6 linked regions of the Danio rerio genome follow. The main gene of each other region encodes a partner of the protein of the gene in region 2 in a complex. Links are inferred from orthologs where the notes say so. Each region holds a gene or a part of one and is shown on either strand. Other genes may lie near its edges. The genes, in order: cc2d2a, tmem17, tctn1, ahi1, tmem216 and tmem107l.

What was found.
Region 1: tmem17 (region 2) and cc2d2a share a complex: the UniProt entries of both Homo sapiens proteins name them as parts of the tectonic-like complex. The link is inferred for Danio rerio from reciprocal best matches to the Homo sapiens genes TMEM17 and CC2D2A.
Region 3: tmem17 (region 2) and tctn1 share a complex: the UniProt entries of both Homo sapiens proteins name them as parts of the tectonic-like complex. The link is inferred for Danio rerio from reciprocal best matches to the Homo sapiens genes TMEM17 and TCTN1.
Region 4: tmem17 (region 2) and ahi1 share a complex: the UniProt entries of both Homo sapiens proteins name them as parts of the tectonic-like complex. The link is inferred for Danio rerio from reciprocal best matches to the Homo sapiens genes TMEM17 and AHI1.
Region 5: tmem17 (region 2) and tmem216 share a complex: the UniProt entries of both Homo sapiens proteins name them as parts of the tectonic-like complex. The link is inferred for Danio rerio from reciprocal best matches to the Homo sapiens genes TMEM17 and TMEM216.
Region 6: tmem17 (region 2) and tmem107l share a complex: the UniProt entries of both Homo sapiens proteins name them as parts of the tectonic-like complex. The link is inferred for Danio rerio from reciprocal best matches to the Homo sapiens genes TMEM17 and TMEM107.

What each region holds. Positions count from the first base shown.
Region 1 is NC_133198.1:2,297,536-2,301,577, reverse strand, and holds the start of cc2d2a (coiled-coil and C2 domain-containing protein 2A), read right to left. Parts: upstream 2,801-4,042; 5' UTR 2,745-2,800; exon of another isoform or gene 2,488-2,744; 5' UTR 2,399-2,487; coding exon 2,385-2,398; intron 2,270-2,384; coding exon 2,194-2,269; intron 1-2,193. UniProt on the Homo sapiens protein: Component of the tectonic-like complex, a complex localized at the transition zone of primary cilia and acting as a barrier that prevents diffusion of transmembrane proteins between the cilia and plasma membranes.
Region 2 is NC_133200.1:30,968,231-30,972,182, reverse strand, and holds the start of tmem17 (transmembrane protein 17B), read right to left. Parts: upstream 2,801-3,952; 5' UTR 2,725-2,800; coding exon 2,610-2,724; intron 1,980-2,609; coding exon 1,876-1,979; intron 1,766-1,875; coding exon 1,652-1,765; intron 1,577-1,651; coding exon 1,433-1,576; intron 1-1,432. Other genes in the region: PKc_like domain-containing protein, read left to right, coding at 2,826-2,872. UniProt on the Homo sapiens protein: Transmembrane component of the tectonic-like complex, a complex localized at the transition zone of primary cilia and acting as a barrier that prevents diffusion of transmembrane proteins between the cilia and plasma membranes.
Region 3 is NC_133185.1:8,987,231-8,991,218, reverse strand, and holds the start of tctn1 (tectonic-1), read left to right. Parts: upstream 1-1,188; 5' UTR 1,189-1,219; coding exon 1,220-1,550; intron 1,551-3,988. UniProt on the Homo sapiens protein: Component of the tectonic-like complex, a complex localized at the transition zone of primary cilia and acting as a barrier that prevents diffusion of transmembrane proteins between the cilia and plasma membranes.
Region 4 is NC_133192.1:9,398,218-9,401,717, forward strand, and holds part of ahi1 (jouberin), read right to left. Parts: coding exon 3,389-3,500; intron 2,083-3,388; coding exon 1,930-2,082; intron 1,845-1,929; coding exon 1,712-1,844; intron 1-1,711. UniProt on the Homo sapiens protein: Involved in vesicle trafficking and required for ciliogenesis, formation of primary non-motile cilium, and recruitment of RAB8A to the basal body of primary cilium.
Region 5 is NC_133189.1:29,306,907-29,309,302, forward strand, and holds the end of tmem216 (transmembrane protein 216), read right to left. Parts: intron 1,461-2,396; coding exon 1,259-1,460; intron 701-1,258; coding exon 685-700; 3' UTR 501-684; downstream 1-500. UniProt on the Homo sapiens protein: Part of the tectonic-like complex which is required for tissue-specific ciliogenesis and may regulate ciliary membrane composition.
Region 6 is NC_133198.1:31,419,244-31,423,267, forward strand, and holds the start of tmem107l (transmembrane protein 107 like), read right to left. Parts: upstream 2,801-4,024; 5' UTR 2,644-2,800; intron 2,521-2,643; 5' UTR 2,515-2,520; coding exon 2,428-2,514; intron 2,336-2,427; coding exon 2,268-2,335; intron 1,645-2,267; coding exon 1,544-1,644; intron 1-1,543. UniProt on the Homo sapiens protein: Plays a role in cilia formation and embryonic patterning. Requires for normal Sonic hedgehog (Shh) signaling in the neural tube and acts in combination with GLI2 and GLI3 to pattern ventral and intermediate neuronal cell types.

The sequences.
Region 1 (4,042 bases), on a different chromosome or scaffold from region 2:
CAAGAGGGGAAATGCACGTTTTAAAGATTACACTATGTCCATTTAAAGGAACAGTTCACCCGAAAATGAACATTTCCTCTTCCTTTACACACAGTCAAGACATTACAAACTTTTATGAGTTTCTTTCTTCTGTTGTACACAAAAGAAGATATTCAAAAGAATGATGGGGGAATAGCAGCCAATGACATCCATAGTAGAAATAAAACATATACAATAGAGGTTAATGGCTGTTGATTCTTCAGTATATCAACAGAAGAAACTTATACAGGTTTCAAACAAGTAAAGGAAGAGAAAATGTCATTTTTTTGTGTTAACTGTACCTTCAAAATAGTTTTTTTTATTTACTTTTTCTACTGAAACAATGACATTAGTACATTTTAACTATGACATACAGAAGACAGCACTAGTCATTGAGAGTAACAACAATTTACACTGCATGAAATCTTGTCAGGCATGTTCAGAAAATGACTCACTTTATGGCATATTAAATAACTATATAAGAATACAGTTCGACCCCAAACTTAAACCTTTAACTATACTTTGCCACTATCCTTTAGAACCACTAAGTTAGGTTCAACCCATTTGTCTGGTTTATTATAGTTTAAAAGTGTTTACTTCAACTTTACAACTTGACACCTAAACGTTATTGTCAATAACTGTGCATTATAGACTCACCGGACACTTTATTAGGTACACCTGTCCAACTGCTCGTTAATGCAAATTTCTAATTAGCCAATCACAAGGCAGCAACTCAATGCATTTAGGCACGTAGACATGGTCAAGACGATCTGCTGCAGTTCAAAGTGAGCATCAGAATGAGGAAGAAAGGGGATTAAAGTGACTGAACGAGGCATGGTTTTGGTGCCAGATGGTCTGATCTGAGTATTTCAGAAACTGCTCATATACTGGGATTTTCACGCACAACCATCTCTAGGGTTTACAGAAAACGGTCCGACAAAGAGGAAATATCCAGTGAGCGGCAGTTCTGTGGGCGCAAATGCCTTGTTGATGCCAGAGGTCAGAGGAGAATGGCCAGACTGGTTCCAGCTGATAGAAAGGCAGCAGTAACTCAAATAAGCACTCATTACAACCGAGCTCTGCAGAAGAGCATCTCTGAACACACAAAATGTCCAACCTTGAGGCGGATGGGCTACAGCAGCAGAAGACCACACCGGGTGCCGCTCCTGTCAGCTAAGAACAGGAAACTGAGGCTACAATTCACACAGACTCACCAAACTGGACAATAGAAGATTGGAGAAACGTTGCCTGCTCTGATGAGTCTCCATTTCTGCTGACACATTTGGATGCATAGAGATAAAGTTGGTTTTATATTCTCACATTCATTAATTAAACAGTCTCTATATTGTTTACCATGTTTCTTTGAATATTCAATCGGAAGTAGCATGCAAGTATACTTCTAAACAACATTAACACTATCTAATTCACTGTGAACAATGTTGTACTTTGAAAGTCATTGGCTGCCAATATGATTTCCCTATTCAGAATTTGCAAAGAATACTTTTTTGAAATTATATTATTAAGGAGAATGTCTGAATATAAAACCATCTTTACCTCTATTTTGGATGGTCCGGTCAGAATTTGGCATCAACAACATGAAAGCATGGATCCATCCTGCCTTGTATCAACAGTTCAGGCTGGTAGTGGTGGTGTAATGGTGTGGAGGAGATTTTCTTGGCACACTTTGGGCCCATTAGTACCAATTGAGCATCATGTCAACGCCACAGCCGACCTGAGTATAGTTGCTGAACATGTCCATCCCTTTATGAGCACAGTGTCTCCATCTTCTGGATAACACACCATGTCATAAAGCGTGAATCATCTCAGACTGGTGTCTTGAACATGACAATGAGTTCACTTTACTCAAATGGCCTCCACAGTCACCAGAACTCAATCCAATAGAGCACCTTTGGGATGTGGTGGAACGGCAGATTGGCATCATGGATGTGCAGCCGACAAATCTGCAGCAACTGCGTGATGCTATCATGTCAACATGGAGCAAAATCTCTGAGGAATATTTGCAGTGCCACGAATATTTGTTGAATCTCTGCCACGAAGGATTAAAGCAGTTCTGAAGGCAACAGGGGTCCAACCCGATACTAGTAAGGTGTACCTAATGAAGTGGCCGGTGAGTGTAAGTATATTTAACATAGAAATACCGCACTCTGTTGTTACCTGTTTATCATCCCTGACTTTTCCTAAAGACTCCTGCAGTTCTCTCCTCTTCTTCTTTATTTTCTCTCGTACATCACTGAGGACAACAGGACAACTTAAACTTAGAAACAGCCGTAAAACAGAATTGCTCTAAGCTTATACTCAAGTTAACGTATAGTAAAAAATAAAAACAGATTAATGTTAACAGTTACCCTGGCGATGACATTGTGCTCTAACGTTATGCATTAAACGTTACTGACGTCAGAAATCTTCCCAATACATCTCAGATCTTCAGTGTGGACCTCACAGCAGCTCCTGGATGACACGGTTCGTTAATAAAACATTCATAATGGAGGGATAAACTGCATAGCATTAGTTGAGTAAAGTTAAAGTTAGCAACAGCCTTTTATAAAGTAACGTTAGCCGAAATCTCTTATTAACAGCAGACTGTAGTCGCTCGAGGCAGGAAATAAACATTATTCTGCTCAAAAGACAAAAGAGAAACTTTCCAGATTATAGAATTATTCCACTGAAATAGTTAGTAAATGTAATAAATCTGTATTTAGCTTTACCGTCGTGCGCCGTCTCGCTGCCTGGTAACGGGTGTAAATAATCTACAACCGAACATACGGTTTGCGTCCGGATCATCCCTTTCACGTCAGCGTTTGTTCTCATTGGCCCACAGGCCCGTCAATCACCCAAATCTGGATACGTCACGCGGCAGCTCGAGCTCAATCCTGCATGAATATAAAAAAATATTAATATTAATTGTTCATTTTGTGGGCAGCACCCTGAGTCCCTGGTTCACTTATTTTGGCAATGCAATTACTCTAGGTTGCTTTGGAAAGACTTCTTACTTTTTATAATTGAGAATGTTGATGAGGAATTTTCCTTGCTGTGGGAGAATGTTTTGTTTGGTTTTGTTGATTATGGAACGGGGGCTTTACATAAAAAGAAAACATATTTTCTTAATCTTCTTGTCTTGTTAACAAAATTTTATATCCATAAATGTAAATTTTCAAACCAAAAACCTTTTTTTAATATTTTGCTTACTGAAATGCAGTATTACTTTGAAACAGTGTCTAACTCTTTCTCAAAAAAGGCTTTAAAAATAACTGAAATTTGTAAATTATATAATATTTTTCTTTAACGTGTAATGTATTTACCCCTCCTGTTTTTTTTTTTTTGTTTGTTTGTTTATTTTTTTGTTATCTGTAGTTATTTCTTTTTCCAAAAATGTTGTTCTTTTTGTCTCTTCAATTTCTTGTTAACATCCTGTGATTGTATATTCTCATTTTCGTATATTAAAAAAAAAAAAAAAAAAAAAAAAAAAGCATGAGACGCGGGCAAATTCTCCATAGAATTTATCCTGCTAAACATGTTTTGGAAAGAATGAAGCTTAATCTTTCATATATGTGTGCATTTTGTGTTCAAGAAAAAGAAACAATTTTGCATCTTTTTTTATCCATAAAAAATTACAAAGATAGAATATACTTAAAATACTGTGTCATACTCTTTTACTCACATAGCCTACTAAAACCCTCATAAGAACTATAAAACATGAAGTCATTGGTTGTTACAAACAAATTGGACAAAAAAACATTTGCTGTATTTTTAGAAACACTGAGCAGAAAAACAACGGAGATCTGCAGTAAAGCTGTTGAGTTTTTATTTATTTATCTTATTTTTATTTTTTTCTAAAGATTGCAAAATGACCTGATGTGGTGAGTATATATTTCCATGTTCTGTGATGTGTGTTATTTGATCCTCTTCAGATGGTTTTAATCATAATTCAGAAAAGGGTGTTTTCTGCCTTCTGAGCTTTGGCTTTCATGTATTTTTTCTCAACTCCAAAAACACTCCATTATAC
Region 2 (3,952 bases):
GGAGCAATGCATCTAACTACAGCCCTAGAGGTTTAGTTGTAAGCTTACAAGTTTGTGATGCAGTTTGCGAATGTTCAATGGAACGACGGATTTGGGAACCGCCAAATCAACAAACTATCTTTGTAACGATGGAACTTGTGACCTTGGTTTGCTAACAATTGTTTTCGGAAAAGCACCCCAGGTTGTAAGTACTGCGTCTAAATGCTAAAAGAAGAAATCGGAGAAGTGACAAAAAAGAAAGACCAGGCAATGTATTCAAAATTAAATTTAAACAGATCATCCTCATCAAAAAAGTTTAAGATCATAGCCTTAAATGAAACGCTCAACATTTAAAAAAAAATAAGTTTAAACAGTTGAGTTTTAGCATTTTTTATTCAATTCTGTTGATCTTCAGGTCTGGTGTGAGCACTTTTAGCTTAGCTTAGCATAAATCATTGAATCAGATTAGACCATTAGCCTCTTGCACAAAAACTTAAAGTTATATAAGTTACACAAGATAATTTATATTTATATATAAATATATATATATATATATATATATATATATATATATATATATATATATATATATACACATATATATATATATATATATATATATATATATATATATATATATATATATATACATACATACATACATACACGCACACTCTTCTATAGTTACATTATGTACTAGGAACTATACTCTTATTCTAAAAAATATTTCCCATCTAGATAACAGTGCTACATATTAACATTGTCCCTGCTGCAGCCTTGGTATGGCAGCTAGTCCCTTGATTATTACACCAAAATGAGAGTATAGTTCTTAGCCATATCAACATATCACTTGCGCTTGACGCTCCTTCCACGTCTGGTGTGAACAGCATTAGTATACAATGTGACTAGAAAAGTGTCAAGCTCTAAATAGAAAAATTATCTCCAGTTATTATTTGTATTTTTGGAGCAAGATGCTAATGGTCTAATCTAATTTAATGATTTATGCGAAGCTAAAAGGGTTTTCACCAGACCCAGTGATCATCTAAAAGGATTAAAAAATGGCAAATCTTTTCTGTTTAACTCTTATAAGTTGAGCCTGTTCCTCCTGAAGTGGAGTGTTTCATTCAAATCTGCATAAAAATATGGCTTTCGTGCTTCCCTCCTGAGTGAAAATCTGTACTGAAGATGTAGTAAAATCAATCGAGACAAAAGCAGTTGTAGGCTTTGGAAATTAAAGTTGTAATCTTTATGTTACAACCAATATCATTGCTGTTCTTAAACTCTAATCACTGTGTTTTGCACAAAATAATGGCTTTTTGTCAAAGTGTCTTGAGTGTTTTATAAAACACTGTTCTGTTGGTACACAACTGAAATCCCTTCAAATTCTGAACAATGAGGAGTTAAAAATTCTACATAGTCACTTAAAATAGTTGTAAGATAGACAGATAGATACCTCAGCAAAGATAAATAAGGCCAGTATTATATGAACTCCTCTCTCTAGTGGTTGAACAAGAACAGCCTCATTGAAGAGCTGGAACAAAATCAGAGGAAACTGAAGTAGAAAAGTCAGAAGCCAAAATCCAGCCAATTCTGGAACCTACTGAAAAACAACAGATGCATAATGGGACCAATTATAGGATATTACATGATATTACATTAAATTAAGATTGACCTTTTCTTGCAGATTTCCAGCATTGCCCAAATACAGCCTAATAGCCTCAATCAGGGTCATTACAATGAGAATTGTGATCAGGATGAACTTGTAATAATCTGCAAGGGCTGAGTACTAGAAGAAAAAGCACAATGATTATTAGCTGTAATATCTAACAACAGTAATATGATTAAACAGCCATAAGATCATATTGAAATGTTAAAAATGACAAAGACGAGAATCACCTTTAGGTCAAGCATCACAACCTCACTGATCCACCAGAAAGGAAAGAACCACATGTTAAAGTAGAGTGACATCTGAAGAGGGAGACTCGATACTACATCCTTATCTGAGAAATAATAGTGCATAAAATTAAAATGACAAATTAGCTTTGAATAAAGTTCATTTTTACTAATCTTGGGCATCCTAAATAACCTGATTCGGAACCACAGATATATAATATGTATAATAATAATACATAAATCAGTGTTCGGAGCCTGTATAGGATGGAGTAAAATAACATTTGGCGAATCGGTTCTTTTGAACAGTTCGTTTTAAATGAGTAACTTTGTTCACTTGGCTGTTTTACCTAACTAAACTTGGTTAAAGATATCCAAAATATTTCGATTCCGTCAACCTATTAAATCATCTAGTTGCCTTACTTTAAGTAGTTTTTTTGACTAATCACGTTTTATGAAAAGGTCCATTAAGAAGATCCGATTCAAACGAACCATTTATTATGCTTTTTGGTAACGCAACGTAGTTTCGTAGGTCCCAGACAGGAATAACGCCAAATGTTATCAACTTCCTTTTAAGATTAATGCTACCATAAAGCATTATTATATCTGCATATGACGTCAGAAAAAAATATGTTTACTAGCAAAAGCTACATGAAATCGTACAACTCGGCTAACCAGATGAATTAGCCCTACAGCTAACGTTCACGTAGCAGATCAAATGGAAGCTCAAACACACTTACTTTGGTCTAGAAAATTTGCGTGCTCTTCGAAAGAGGGTTGTGTACGGCTTTGGTCCACAAACACGGTTCTGGAGAAATCTCCAAGCCGTCGCCTGATGGGTTCAGGCAGGTCCATGTTGGGAGAAGCAGACGTGTGTCCGTAGCAACCAGTCTATGGTAGCAACGAAGGCGGATCTTCTTGAGCGGTTGTGATGGTCCAGCTGTGACCACCGGGGGATGTTTTTCACTCTCACTCACACACACTGCTCAGCTGCACTTAACAGGTTTGCTTGCTTTGTATGATGGCGAAATAAGATACATTATGCTGAGTTTTATCCTGCAATGTGTATAAAGAATAATATTAATATTCCTGGCTTAAACTATCACTTTAAGTCAGCATGAAGTAAAAAAATGTACAATGTTTATTTTGCTAGAGGACATTGGTAGTGTTAAGGTGAACAATTAAGTAAAGTCGCTGATCATTTTTATTGTAGGTAATCTTTAATCAAAAACCTCCTATTTGATTCTGCTCTGGTGTGGGGGTCCTTCTCTGATGACGTCAAGTATGAGAACTAAAATAAAACCCTGCCCACTACTCAATGTTCAGTTTATTCAGTCTTGAGATCCAGGGTTTCTATTAGAATTTAGAGCTTTATTTTAAAGAAGGTTCTTTTTGGGTTCTTCACTTTTGAGAAACAATATGAAAAGATATATTTTTTTTGCAACCCAAGGTTCATTCATTCATTTTCTTTTCGGTTTAGTCCCTTTATTAATCCGGGGTCACCACAGCAGAATGAACCACCAATTCAGGGCCGTGCACAGACATTTTGAGGGGCAGGGGCACTAAGTGGGTGGGTTCTTGCTTATACAAATTTTCTAGTTGTTGTAAAAGTACAATTAAAAGAAAAAACAGTACACTCTGTAATAATTTCAGAACTATTTACCATTTTACATTTTTATATTTACCTGTACCTTTAAAAACAAAACTTTTTTTGTCCTGAAAGATCTTGATAAGCTCATCTTACATGTATGTGATTCACATTTACACATTGCGGATAATAACAGAAACTATTTACTGTTGGATGGACAATCTGAACATTTTCTGTCTCCATCACCTTTACTTTGCTGAGTTGACTCGGAGGGAGTTTCATCTTAGAATGAATAACAAAGCATTTACAATATTTAAATTATTTAAATGTCCATCTATCTTTGTATGACACTCTAGCATATCCCTTCCAGATTAACAGTCTTACCTGTACCTGTGTGATTTAGCTCATGCTCGGTGGTCTCCCTCATTTTTTGAACCTGCTTCTGCCTCATCTTCAATGGAAAAATAAATATTACACGTTTAATTTAATATTATA
Region 3 (3,988 bases), on a different chromosome or scaffold from region 2:
TATGCAAAAGAAATATACATTTTTAGTAATCTGGGAAAAGCACATTCGATTAACTGTATGCTGTTACAAAATCGGCAAGTTTAAGTTTAAGTGATATACAATATAAAGTGGGTCTCAGAGTGTACAAGCAGCACTGCATTAAATTACATTTTCCCCGTCATGTCTTTAAAATATGGACGTTTATTTTACCCCAGTAAATTCAATGTAGTTTCTCCACTACCCTGCTGATCCTGACAGTTCATGCATATAAAAGTGCTTTTTGTCTTGTTTTACAGTTGAAAAATGAAATAAACGATGAAGTCTATTTAACTGGTTATATTTTAATTACAACATCAATGCTGTAAAAAAAAAAAAGTATAATATTGAAAAAAAAAATCACAATAACCGTTTACCAGAAGTGAATCATTATGGTAAGAAACACTAGTTCTGCATGTTTCCCATTAGCACTTCTTGTGTGTATAGCCTCTTGTTGTTGAATCACCGAACACCGCCTCAATAGTAAGTTGCTTTGATCTAGAGCATCTGTAAATGTAAATTAAATTTTTAACAAATCTTGATTTATTGACTTTTTGAACTTAAAATGTTGGTATTGTAAAGTTAGTATAAACATGTCTGAAAATAGACTTGTTCTAAATGAAAAATATTTTTTCATTATTATTATTTAAAATAAAAATGCTTTTTAGCCATTTTTTTCGTGTGTGTGTTTGTTCGTTTGTTTTATATATATAATATATTTTCTTATGTCAGCTATTCGCAAGAACATATAATTGAGTTTTGGGTAGTTTGACTCAAAAATAAAATGCTAAATAAAGTAATATTTGTTTAAAGCATAATTATAATAAAAACAACCAAAAAGCCCTGACAACATTCGCTAAATTATAATGTAAAAATAAAATATGAAAATAAATGCAAACTATTAATGAAAACCAAAATAAATCACTGATTGGAGATTTGTGCATTTATTGTTATACATATTTAATATTTTAATTATTATTTAAAAATATATTAGTAATTCATTTATGCAATTACTGGATGTTTTTTTATATAGCAGTCTTTTGTGTAGCAGTTTTATAATAATAATAATAATAATAATAATAATAATTATTATTATTATTATTATTAAAACATATTTGCCACAATAAAAATGGTTGAATGTCCTGCACCTTCCCACAATGCATTTCACTTCCTGGATACCGCTGAAAGCGCGCTGTAACCAAGCATGGCGGTGTTCTGTTATCTTGTTATTCTGATATATTTACAAACCTCGCTCTACACCGAAGACACGAACACAACACAAAATATAAATATAACACTCGAAGACTTAAACCACACGTCAAATTATCGAGATGAAATGCTTAACATCACGGAGCTGGGAGTCAGTCCTACTGCAGCAGATTTACCCGCTCCGACTGACAGGACTCCCGAATACGTGACCGGATTACCGGATCTTAACGAGTCCACGAAGAGCCCGATCCCTGATTCCCCGCGAGCCACCGCAGCGCCAGCGCCTATTCCCGTGTCCGGTGTCCCGCCGGTCACCGTCACTGAAGGTAAGAGTGCGGAAAAACTGATCCGAGTTGTCAAAACACTGAATGTCAATATCAATAGGGTAAACAACAGCATAGTAATAACATAAGAATTGCAACAATTATTTTTATTACAAGTTTAAATACGCAAATGAGGCATTAGATGTCAGCCCTGATTGATTCTGTATTCAGTCTGTTTACTGTATAGGTAGGTAGGTTACTTTATTTATACCCAAAGGTAGATTTGATTTGCAGTCAAGAGTCCTCATCTCACAGCAGTGCCACACAAAGCAACTCACACAGCAACAACAACAAATGCACATTAAAACATAAAACATAAACATAAAGAATAAATAAATAATCACTTTAAGTGCCCCCCCCCCCCCCCCTCCCCCAAGTAAATATTTAAAATGATCTAAAATATACAGGTCACTGAAACATCTCTGCTTAAGTCTTATTTAAATGTCTAATGGCTGCTGGTATGAAACTATTTTTGTAACGTTTCCTTTTACAGCTTAATACTACAAACCTACAACCGGAGGGAAGGAGCTGAAACTCTGAATGTAGGGGATGAAATAGAGGTAAAGTTGGTTTTATATTTGCACATTCGTTCATTTAAAAGTCCTTACATTGTTTACCATGTTACTTTCAATATTCGACCGGAATTAGCATGCAAGTGTGGCTTGAAAACAACATTTACACTGTTTATTTGACTGTGAACAATGTTGTACTTTGATAGTCACTGGCTGCTAATATGAGTTTGCTATTTAGAGTTTGCAAATAATAATTTTATGAAATTATATTATTAAGGGGAAAGTCTGAATGTGCGAATATAAAACCAACTTTACCTCTATGGGGATGAGCAGTGTCATTTAAAATTGAATTTGTAATTCTCTTTAGCTGCCTAGTGTACACAGCTTCTAGATTGGCTAGTGACACCCCGGTCAGCTTACTGGACCACTTAAATATCTGATTTAGTGAGTTTTTATTCTTGACAGAAAGATTCCCAAACCATGACACCAAAGCAAAGGATAAAACGGATTCAAGAAAAGCGTGATAAAATAGAGTCATCATCTGTTTATCAATATGGAAATAATTTAACTTTCTCAAGCAAAATAGTTGCTGGTGCCCCTTTTTACACACTGCTGCACAATTCTTATCAAAGGAAAGTTTAGAGTCAATAATTGTGCCAAGGTATTTATATGATTGCACACTTTCCACAGTCTGATTTTTAATGGAAGTGCTCACCTGTGAGTGAGCAGCCTTCCTAAAATTCACGATCAAATCTTTTGTCTTTAAAACATTTAACTGAAGATATGACTCCTCACACCATCTGACAAAGTCAGTGAGTACCGGACCATGACCTGTATCATCATCATGGAGTTGACTGACAATGACAGTGTCCTCTGCATACTTGACAGGGCTCAACAATAAGGACTGCCCGGTGGCCCAGGGCCAGCGTGAGAGACACTTGGGACAGTAGACAGGATCATTACTGGCCCGATTGGGACAGTGCTGCCTTGTCACTAACATTTCATTTGTCTACGACTATTTGTCAATTGCGTGCATTTAAGTTTGTGCTTTTAAGTCTTTAAACACTACCTTCTCTGTGATGTCGTAAACACCATATTGCTTTCCGGTTCCTCTTATCTGATTAGATGTTTTGAGCATGCAATTTTTTTCAATAACCAGGGGCCTCATGTACGAAGACTTGCGTGGAAATCATACTAAAACATAGCGTACGCACAAAGCTGTAAATGTGCGTACGCAGAAAAAAATTCAGGGGCCTCATGTATCAACGCTGCGTACGCACAAAAACATTGCGTACGCAAGGTTTCACGCTCAGAATCGCTCACGTTTGGATTTACTAACAATGAACTGAACGTGGGAATGTGCGCAGGTTCACGGCAGCTTTTTGGCAGGCGTACGCACATTTTTTGTGCGTGTCTGTTTTATTTCCATTGGCGACTCCTAGAGGCAGTTGTGTTAAATTCTTCTCTACAAAGTGTCTGATCCTTGCAATGGCAGCTGTATGAGACGGGTTCATCTAGTAGGTATGTAAGATTTCCATACCATACAGTTGACCAGCTAAACATTAAAGCACAATTTGCAGCAGTCGCCTGTTTTCCCAATGTAATCTGCGCGATCTACTGCACGCACATTGCTATAAAGACACTATCTGAAGATGAATTTGCAAGCGTGAATCAGAAACATTTCCATTCAATAAATGTGCAAATAAAATATGATGCACAAACTTATTAATGATTCCTACTAGTCTTTCTCGTGATAAATAGTAGGCAAAATATGATATGTAGCGGGGGGGAAAAAAGAAGATAGAGTTCATCAGACGCTGGATTCGAGCCGAGTTCATGCTCGAACGTGTCAAAACATGATCACATGCGTCTTACGAGCGCGCCACTGAGACTGTTCAGAGTGCTGCAACAGTTTACAGATATAAACCA
Region 4 (3,500 bases), on a different chromosome or scaffold from region 2:
TGTTTACATGGACATCTGTAGTCGAATTATTTGCCAAATTATTAAATGGTGGACTTTAACTGCAGTTTGGCTCTTTCATTCAGGGAATTCATTAATGTCCCTCCCGACAAACGAGATATTTGATTCGAGGAACAGCTCTAAGCGTGTATTTTTCATGCAATGTTTGATACTGCACGGCGAATGAGAGAAAAAAAAACTCAGCATTTCCCGGAAACTTAGATGCACTCGGCAGGTAGTGTCAGAAAGCCGTGTGTGTTATTCCGGTCACAAAATCCAACACGAGGTTATAGTTTGGTTGTAACTGTTAGTGCTAACTATTGCACTCGGTGCAATAGTTTGTTTGATACGAATAAAATACGAACTGAATAAACAAAGAGCACTGGTCGCTCACTTACCAAATCTGTAGAGACAGGACAATCACCAGCAACTAGAGCCGCGTCTTTATTTAGAGAAGACTACAATCTCAGCGTTTGCAGATGAGAACAGCTCTCAGGTAAATAATAATCCTCCTTAGACACGTAAGTTGTTGTCGCGCGTCGCGTACACTGTTAATCCACATGTGAGTCTGCGCTCTCACAGAGAGAAAATGAAAACGAAACTTAACTGCAGCAAACTATAAAAGCAACACTTCACGCTTGTTTTGCCAACACAACGTGGCGTCTTTGCCGTCTACACTGTGACAGTAATGAATATTAATGAAGTTGCACAATAGAGCGCGCTGATTGGTTTGAACCAAGCCTTACTCATGCATTAATGCATCACACTGTAAGACGTAATAAGACTCACTCTGGCACAGACGCCCAGTCTGCACGCTGGAATACACGCTATTATGTCATGACCGTGACGCAGCTTCAAAAATTCGTTTCAAACAGGAAGTACGAATTTGCTTGAAATAACGCAAAAACAACCAATTTACACTTTTTAGTGAAATATAGGTGTCTTAATAGTGTTTTTAGCAGTGTGGTACACATATACGACTGTCAACAGCTCAAAAAATGTGTTTTGGTGTTTCGTGACCCTTTAAAGAACATTGTAAACAATACGCTAATACACTTCAGTGTGGTTCAAAACATTTTTTACTATAAATTACTATTGTATTATAGTTTAATTACTGGTGTGTGGGACCGGTACAGTACTTTAAAACTGTAGAAATGTATGTAATCAACTCCAAATCTCTCGCTATACACTTTACTAACACATTAGGGTGTTTAAACCTTTGAATCAAAATTCGAAGCAGTCACGTGGGTATAGGCGAAAATGAAGCTTCGGACGTCACTGATCACGTGATGATGGCAAAACGAATCAAGCTCCAGTACACTGCAAGATGCATCGTTTTTTTGATACATGCTTCAAAGCCTCGGTGCACAACGTCACATTACTATCAGAAACTGCTGATCTACTGGGATTTTAACGCATAACCATCGCTAGGGTTTACAGAAAATGGTCCAAAAAAGAGAAAATATCCAGTGAGCAGCAGTTCTGTGGGTGTAAATGCTTTGTTGACGCCAGAGGAGAATGGCCAGACCGATCTGATAGACGATCTGATAGACTCGTTACAACTGATGTCTCCAGAAGAGCATCTCTGAAATTTTTGGGTGAACTATCCCTTTAACTAATCAGATATTAAATGTTATTATGACAAACATTTAAGTATAAAGTATTAAAAAATGCAAGACAGAGAAAAGACAACATGTAGTCACATTATACTCACTTATGATAGGAAAAGCATCTCTATCTGCACACGCAGCTGCTAGCGCACGTCCATCATGTGAGAAACAGAGAGTAAAACAGCCCATCTGACCTCCACGGAAAGAGTGCATTGGCTTATTTGGGATCCGGCACACCTTAAACAAACAATGTCAAAAATTATTAGGCCAATTAAAAAGATAACTGACCCCGATTTACACTGATAAAGCAAATAACTAAAACCTGTCCGGGCATACGGCTCCACTTCATGGTTTCTGCTTTGCTCTCCTGTATCTGAGTGCTGGTTTTATTGGTCATCTCAGAATTGAGCTCACTGTAGGAGGTGCTGCCGCGCTCCTGCTGCAGAGCCATCATGGAGCGGATACCGGGGTCAACCTTTGAAACAAACCAGATCAGATTCAACTTCACTGAGCAACTATTTTTAAATAGTCTAGTCCTTTCTTTGCTAATGTTCTACTAATATATACTACAGTTTTGTTTTTTTTGCATATTTACTTTGTAGATCCTGTAAGATCTACTAGATCATCATCTACATCAAACAGCCATGCGCTTATGGCGTATCCTGGCCTAAAATGCAGCTAAAAGTCCTACATGGTGGTAGTACTTTGATTAAGATGTTTACACGTCTGTAAATAATGCGACTGAAATAGAGGAATACTGCACATGACTTAATTCGATTTGTGTTTACTACAATTATGACTTCAGTCGGATTAAGGTTATCAAAAATCTCTGTTTACATGGTAGACTCTTAATCAGAGTATTGCCTTCATCGTATTAAAACAAAAGTATTGGTGTCCTTGTAAACATACTTAATGTTTTGTCAGACATCCCTAGTTAGAAAAAGTCCATTCACGGGGGTACAGAGTTAATTTGGGGGGAGGTAGTGAGTGAGCAAAGTATCTGAGTAGGGGGGCTTGTGCGCGCGAGATGTACCTGAAGAGCGGTGAGAGTTGCGCGCGCGACGTACCCGAATAGAGAGTTGCAACGCGACATACTTGAAGAGTGGTGGGGGTGAGTTGCATGCGACGTACCTGAAGAGCGGTGGGGGTGAGTTGCGCATGACGTACCTGAAGAGCTAGGAGGGATGCAGTGGAGTGAGGGGTGTGCAACGTATTTAAAGACCGGGCAGGAGACGTGCGATTTCCGGGAGATTATTATTCATTTGCGGGCATCTGGGAGTGTCTATGCATTTGAGGGATACTCCCGCAAGGTCGCAGGTCGCACACCAGAAGCACCGCTCGGCGGCGCGCCGTGCAGCGCCATGCATTTTAGAATTCTAAACATAGATTTCTATCAGGATACACACACCGGCGCCGCAAGTCGGCAGCTGTCGGCGGCGCCCGCCCACGACTCAGGACGCAGTTCATTTTTCAGCCGCACCACAGAGCGCCATCTGATTAGTTTCATGTTAAATATCATTTGAATGTGCGCGTCTGGTGTGCGATACTTTAATCTGTCATGTGCCACCCTGTCGTGGCGCCAAGCGGCGCTTCTGGTGTGCTACCTGCTTAAGTGTCTTCTTGTAGGGTATTCTTTTTAAATGAGGCAAATAACTAATTCTAACTGTCAGAATGTTTCTATGGCAACAAAAATTTAAAAGAAGCTAAATGACTAGGCATTAACTTATGGATTCTGAATACTAATATTTAGTAGATGATCCAGCACAACAATGTATACCTACATGTTCTGGTGGTTTCAGGCCTTTCACGGTGACATAGAGAGTTGAGGTGTATTTGTTCCTTGGGTACTTTGACCACCATTGAAAGACTTCCACCGTTTGTGGTACTTTCTTC
Region 5 (2,396 bases), on a different chromosome or scaffold from region 2:
TGAGCCATTTTAGGCCATATGGCGGCTATGTAATGCTTTAATTTTGTTGTAGCTTGTTATGTATATTCATGTAAGCTTTGCAAAGGTACAAAGCTAAGTCTCCAACAAAAGGGATTTCTTCTTCAAATAAATTCGGATGTATGCCAAGCTTGGGTCAAAGCTTTAAGATTCTGTGCATGGTATACTGTATCTTTTCCCAATATTCAGATTAATGGCTTTTTAAAACCAAAATAATGTCACTGTTTCCAAAAAATATATAATGAGTACAATTGTTGCTCAACAATGACAAAGAGATCTTCTTGAAAGTAATTATATAAACAGATGTTTTAAAATGTTAATAATATTAATTACTATTAATAATAAGTACTACAGTACTTCTGATTAACTAAAGTAGCCTTTGTTAATATGAGTCTCCTTTAAAAACATTCAATAATTGTATCCCAAATTTTTGATTGTGTGTGTGTGTGTTTGTGTGGTGTAACAAATGAATGACAAATCTGTTTCAATTTACTATTTAATAATGGCTATATTTCTATTTACATAAATACATTTACACTGTATACAATATCTACATAATAAAGGTACTTGTCAGCTTTATGTTTAATTGTAATTCTTGACAGTTCTCTATTCGAAAGGCTGCTGCTTATCCTTGTTATTGAGTGTTCATGTTTTCAGAAGATGGATTTAATAGATGTTGGCCCTGAAAGAAAAATCTGCATTTTAATATTGTTTATTTTACACAGCAAGTCGGTTACTGAATATCCACAAATATGTTCTATTAAGTTTCTAAATAAGTTTTCTCTCTCTCACACACACACACACACACACACACACACACACACACACACACACACACACACACACACAAACACACAAACACACACACATACACACACACACGCACGCACGCATGCACGCACGCACGCACGCACGCACGCAAATCCCAACTCTCCCAGGAAACTATATCCATTTAACATTTTCTAAATACTTAATTCCAAGTAATTTATGAGCCATTTTCCTCATGGGGCCCCCCCAAAAAATACTGGAATGTACTGGAATTGCTATATTACTTTGCTATATTTACTTTTGTATTTTTGATTAAATAAGCGCAGCCTTGGTGATCAGGATAAGCTTATTTTAAAACATTAAAAAAATACTGCCGACTCTCGGTATATTCATTCCATAGATATCATTATAATGTGTGTGTCTCCTAATGCTGAAACTATGGAATAAATATGCACAAAAAAACAACAGCTACCTGGAAAAAATTGAGATTGTCATCACTCCCAGAACCAGCTCGAAGCCATAAAAGCAGAGGAGCACAGCATTGAGGACAAACTCAAGGCGTAAAACGAAGGTCTGAAGCAGCAGGTAGTAAACACTCAACACTGCACATGGCACCAGAATAGCAACACTCACAAACAGAGCCAAAGAACGCTGACACAGGTTCCCCTTCCAGCCTGAAAGACAGATTTTACACACTATCACTACATTTGCAACATGGGGCAATGCACTTTCATCAATTACAACAGTACACAACAAAGAGGGCAGTTATCTCTATTATAATTCATTCATTCATTCATTTTCTTGCCGGCTTAGTCCAAGCGGAATGAACCGCCAACTTATCCAGAAAGTTTTTACACAGCGGATACCCTTCCAGCCGCAACCCATCTCTGGGAAATCTATTATAATTCTTTTTCTACAATCATGCACTTGTGAACACAGCAGGGTTAAACTCTATTAAGAGCTGAACAGAGAATGCGTATTAAAATCCAGTTCAGTCTAAGATTTAAAAATTGTATTTCAAGTGATATTAAACATTAGACAGGATATAAAATTGTAATTCAAATACAGAGTGTTATAAATGAGTGCTTAATTCTACACTGTAAAACCCAACAATCAACTTTATCAAATGAAATGAGTATAGCTAATTTAATTCTACTGACTTGAAAAGAGTTTTGATCTCAGTGTTGAAGGTAATGAGTTATTAAAATACCTTATTACTTCAACTTAAATGGAGTAGGTTCACAGTACTCATATAGATTACTAGTTTTTTTGTAATCGGTTTCCTCAAATGGTTTAAGTTGCCTTAACTTATTGGGTTTAACAGTAGTCAGTTGGTTTGAGTTCTCTTCATTTAATGGGTTTTACTGTGCTCAAATTGCTTCATTTACTAAAATGGATTATGTTCACAGTACTCATTAGGATTTTCTTTTAACTTAAATGGTTTGTTGCAATCGGTTTCCTCAAACAGTTTGAGTTACCTTAACTTTTTGGATTTAGAACTTATACGAACACATATACACACATATTTGGTTTGCTAATGGATTATTTGAACATAATGGATATTTATAATGAATTTAAAAAACTGCATGTGCTAAACAGAACTTTAAAAA
Region 6 (4,024 bases), on a different chromosome or scaffold from region 2:
CCGAGGTTCGAACCAGCGACCCAGCGACCTTCTTGCTGTGAGGCGACAGCACTACCTACTGCGCCACTGCCTCGCCCAAGCAAAAACTTGTTTTTCAGAAATAAAAATAGTTTTTGCTAACAAAAATTTAAAAATTCAAAGGAAAATTTATTTTTGAAAAATAAAAATTACATTTGCAAACAAAAAAAGAACTGAAAAAAAAAATATATAAATATTTGCAAAACATTTTTAGCCTTGACCTAACCCATCCAGTCAACTGCAATGCTCATTTTGATTTGACAAAGGGGTGGAGTCAAGGGAACTTGGGCGTTTACGGCAGGCCTTAGGTAAACCTCTAAGTTCCCTTGACTCAGTCCCCTTGTCAAATCAGGGCCACAAAGTGAAAGGCGCAGAAACGTGAAGTACAAAGTGAAAACAGCATCACAAACTCACAGTTGACTAAAATCTAATTAAAATGACAATTGCAACTGACCGGGCAGGTTTTGTAAAAGCAATGCTATAAAAATGTTTTGCAAATATATATAGTTTTTTTTTGATTATTGCAAATCTTTTTGTTTTGTTTTTTTACTGCTTGATGTTTATTTGCAGTTCCTTTTTTGTTTAAATTTCATTTTTATTTCTCAATTTTCCCCTTTGCAGTTCTTTATTTTTGTTAGCAAAATGTATTTTTTATTTTTTTCATTTACATTTATTTATTTTTTGCTCAATACTTTATTTGTTGTTTGCAAAGTTTTATTTTATTTTGCACGTACAGTTGAAGTCCGAATTATTAGCCCCCCTTTGAATTATTATTTTTCCAAAAGGGTTTTTTCTTCTGGAGAAAGTCTTATTTGTTTTATTTCGGTTAGGATAAAAGCATTTTTTTTTTTAAACACCATTTTAAGGTCAAAATTATTGCTCTTTAAGCTATATATTGTTTCGATAGTCTACAGAACAAACCATGGTTATACAATAACTTGCCTAATTACCCTATCCTGCCTAGTTAAACCAGTTAACCTAGTTAAGCCTTTAAATGTCACTTTAAGCTGTATAGAAGTGTCTTAAAAAATATCTAGTCAAATATTATTTACTGTCATTATGGCAAAGCTAAAATAAATCAGTTATTAGAAATAAGTTATTAAAACTATTATGTTCAGAAATGTGTTGAAAAAAATCTACTTTCCGTTAAAAGAAATTGGGGAAAAAATAAACAGGGGGGTAATAATTCAAAAGGGCTAATAATTCTGACTTCAACTGTATATATGGCCCTAGATTGACTTTATATACCAGGTAGGTCTTGACCACATTACAGCTCCATATAATTTTTTACGACCCATGACTTCAGGTAATTTACTGTCAAAAATCTGAACAAAACAGAAGACTTTGGATGAGATGTGTAAGAAACTAGTACTAGACACACATATGGGAGCTGTTTGCGTTAATCATAAGTTGAAGATTTGACTCCGATCCATGAAAATATAAGAAAATAATACACAATTTATATGCATCAACACCTACAGTATATATATAACCTATAGTGGTGATGTGCTACTGGTAAGGATACACAGAAGAGCTTGGTTGTTGTTGAACATAGAGATTCCACAGAGAAACCCAACCAACTCGATGGCTAACAGGCCAAGAGTCACGGATAATGCCACCACAAGCCTGTATTCCAAAAACAATGGTTAGGACAGCGTCATGAACAGGACTTACTATATCTGACTCCATAACATTATTCACATCTACATATAAATAATGTACAATTTACTATCAGTCAAACAATAATATGCTGTAAATGGGTCAAACAAGAAAAGCCATCAAAAGATTTTAAAGTATTTTGTTTCATAAATTAAAAGGTACATTTAATTAACAATTAAAATACATTCTGTATTGCGGAATGAAAAAAAAAAAGACTATTTTAGTTGAAATCTTGCAGGTTGTAATTTCTTTTCTTTTTTGGATTATTTTGCTTGAATGTAATTGTAATATCTTTCAATTTCTAAATATGTTTGATGACTAAAATATTATTTGAATAAATATATCTGTTTAATAAATCTGTTTTGTTTCAAAGGGGTGTACTCATTTGCTGAGCACTGTGCATATATCATGCACTTGATGCTATCGCATTCCTAGGTATACCCCAACTGCATTTTGTTGCCTTGTACATGTATAATGACAATAAAGTTGAATCAAAAAATACTATTCAGTCTCACTACATGACCGAAATAATTATATTATCATTTAGCCACTGTGAAGCAATACAGAACAGAGAAAGTGTGTTTCCCAACCGTGTGTCCTCTGCTGTGTACTCTTCATTAGTGTAGTCGAGTGGTAGACAGGCTCGGACACTGTACTCCTGTAGGTCATTCCACATTTAAACACACAGCTGGCTGCAGTGATGTTGTGTGATATAAAAATAACAATTACACACACAAGAACACTTCTTACCCGAGACCAGAAAATGATTATCACTATTACAAGGTGCGCGATGAGAGTGAGGAAACGGGCAGGCACCAGACTGCTGACCACCGACATTGAACACTAGACAGAGAAGAAAGACATAATAACTTAGATTGAACTGTGCAAGTGGATGACTAACAGTTAAAGGTTTAACGTGTTCATCTTCACAAAACGTGAGGTTGTATATCAAAATGGTATACGTACCAGCTTTGCGTTAGTTGTTAAAACCTGATTTTTCAAATGGTGAGCAGTAAAGTAGATATAGCACTGTATATAAGGCTACTATGCGTATAAGTTTATCAAGCTTGAGGACAGTTATCGCTCGATATAAGCTTCGGGTTGCTACGACAACACTCTTCTTCTATTTGGCGAATGGGTTATGGTCAAAACAGACCAACAAGTAGCTCAATGCTGTCACCTGCTGGAAGGAGTCGCTTTCTGACTGGTCCTCAACTTGGTTTTACAATGTCTCAAAATGTTCATTCATTCATTTTCCTTCGGCTGAGAGCAGGTACTAAAGGTGAAATAACTTGAAAATGGTGAACTGGAACATGGCAGCGCAGACAAGTAGTAAGACAATTGGAAAAAATTTATTTCAAAGACTTCATTATTGTGGTCAATAGGGAGCACTATCAAGGTGTTCGAGGTGTCTTAAACAAGCCTTTTATTCAGTCATTCATTTTCCTTCAGCTTAGTCTCTTTATTTATCAGTGGTCGACACAGCGGAATGAACTGCCAACTTATCCAGCATATGTTTTACACAGCGGATGCCCTTCCAGCTGCAACCCAGCACTGGGAAAATCCATACACACTCATTCAAACTCATATACTATGGCCAATTTAGTTTATTCAATTCACCTATAGCACATGTCCTTGGACTGTGGGGGAAACCGGAGTACCCGGAGGAAACCCAAGCAAACACAGGGAAAAAAGCATCTGCAGAAATGTCAGCCGGGACTCGAACCAGCAACCTTCTTGCTGTGAAGCGACAGTGCTAATCTCGAAATGAAATGCATTTAAACAAACTAAGTTGTTTTTTGTTTTACGGTCTCATTTTTACAGTGTATCTATAGCATAAAGTACTGAGTGGCATTAATTAACGATATGGAGTACTTACTATGGTTATGGGTTTTTGCATGTGATTATGCATAATTTATTGGTATTATAGTAAGTGCATAAAACGTGTGTAATAAGAGCCCTATAAGTTAAAAGGATAGCTCACCCAAATATAAAAACGTGTTTGCTGTTTATTCAAGTGGTTGTAAATCTTTGTGAGTTTCTTTCTTCTGTTAAGCGATAAAGGCAATACTTTAAAGAAAGTTGGAAACCTGTAACTTCCATAGCATTTGTTTTTCCTATATGGATGTCAATGGTTGCAGGTTTTCAGCATTCACAAATCAACAAATAAATGAATCATTAGTTTTTACTGTAGCCTACAGCCAGACGTCGTTGGTCTAGTAAATAATAAATAAATACTAACTCAGTGGTTTGCTATCAAGGGCATTTGCTGTTCTGGAAGGCAGTAAAATATTAACCTTAGAGTTAAGAAATTGAGAATAGACAGTTTTAGGAAGACTTTTTTTTT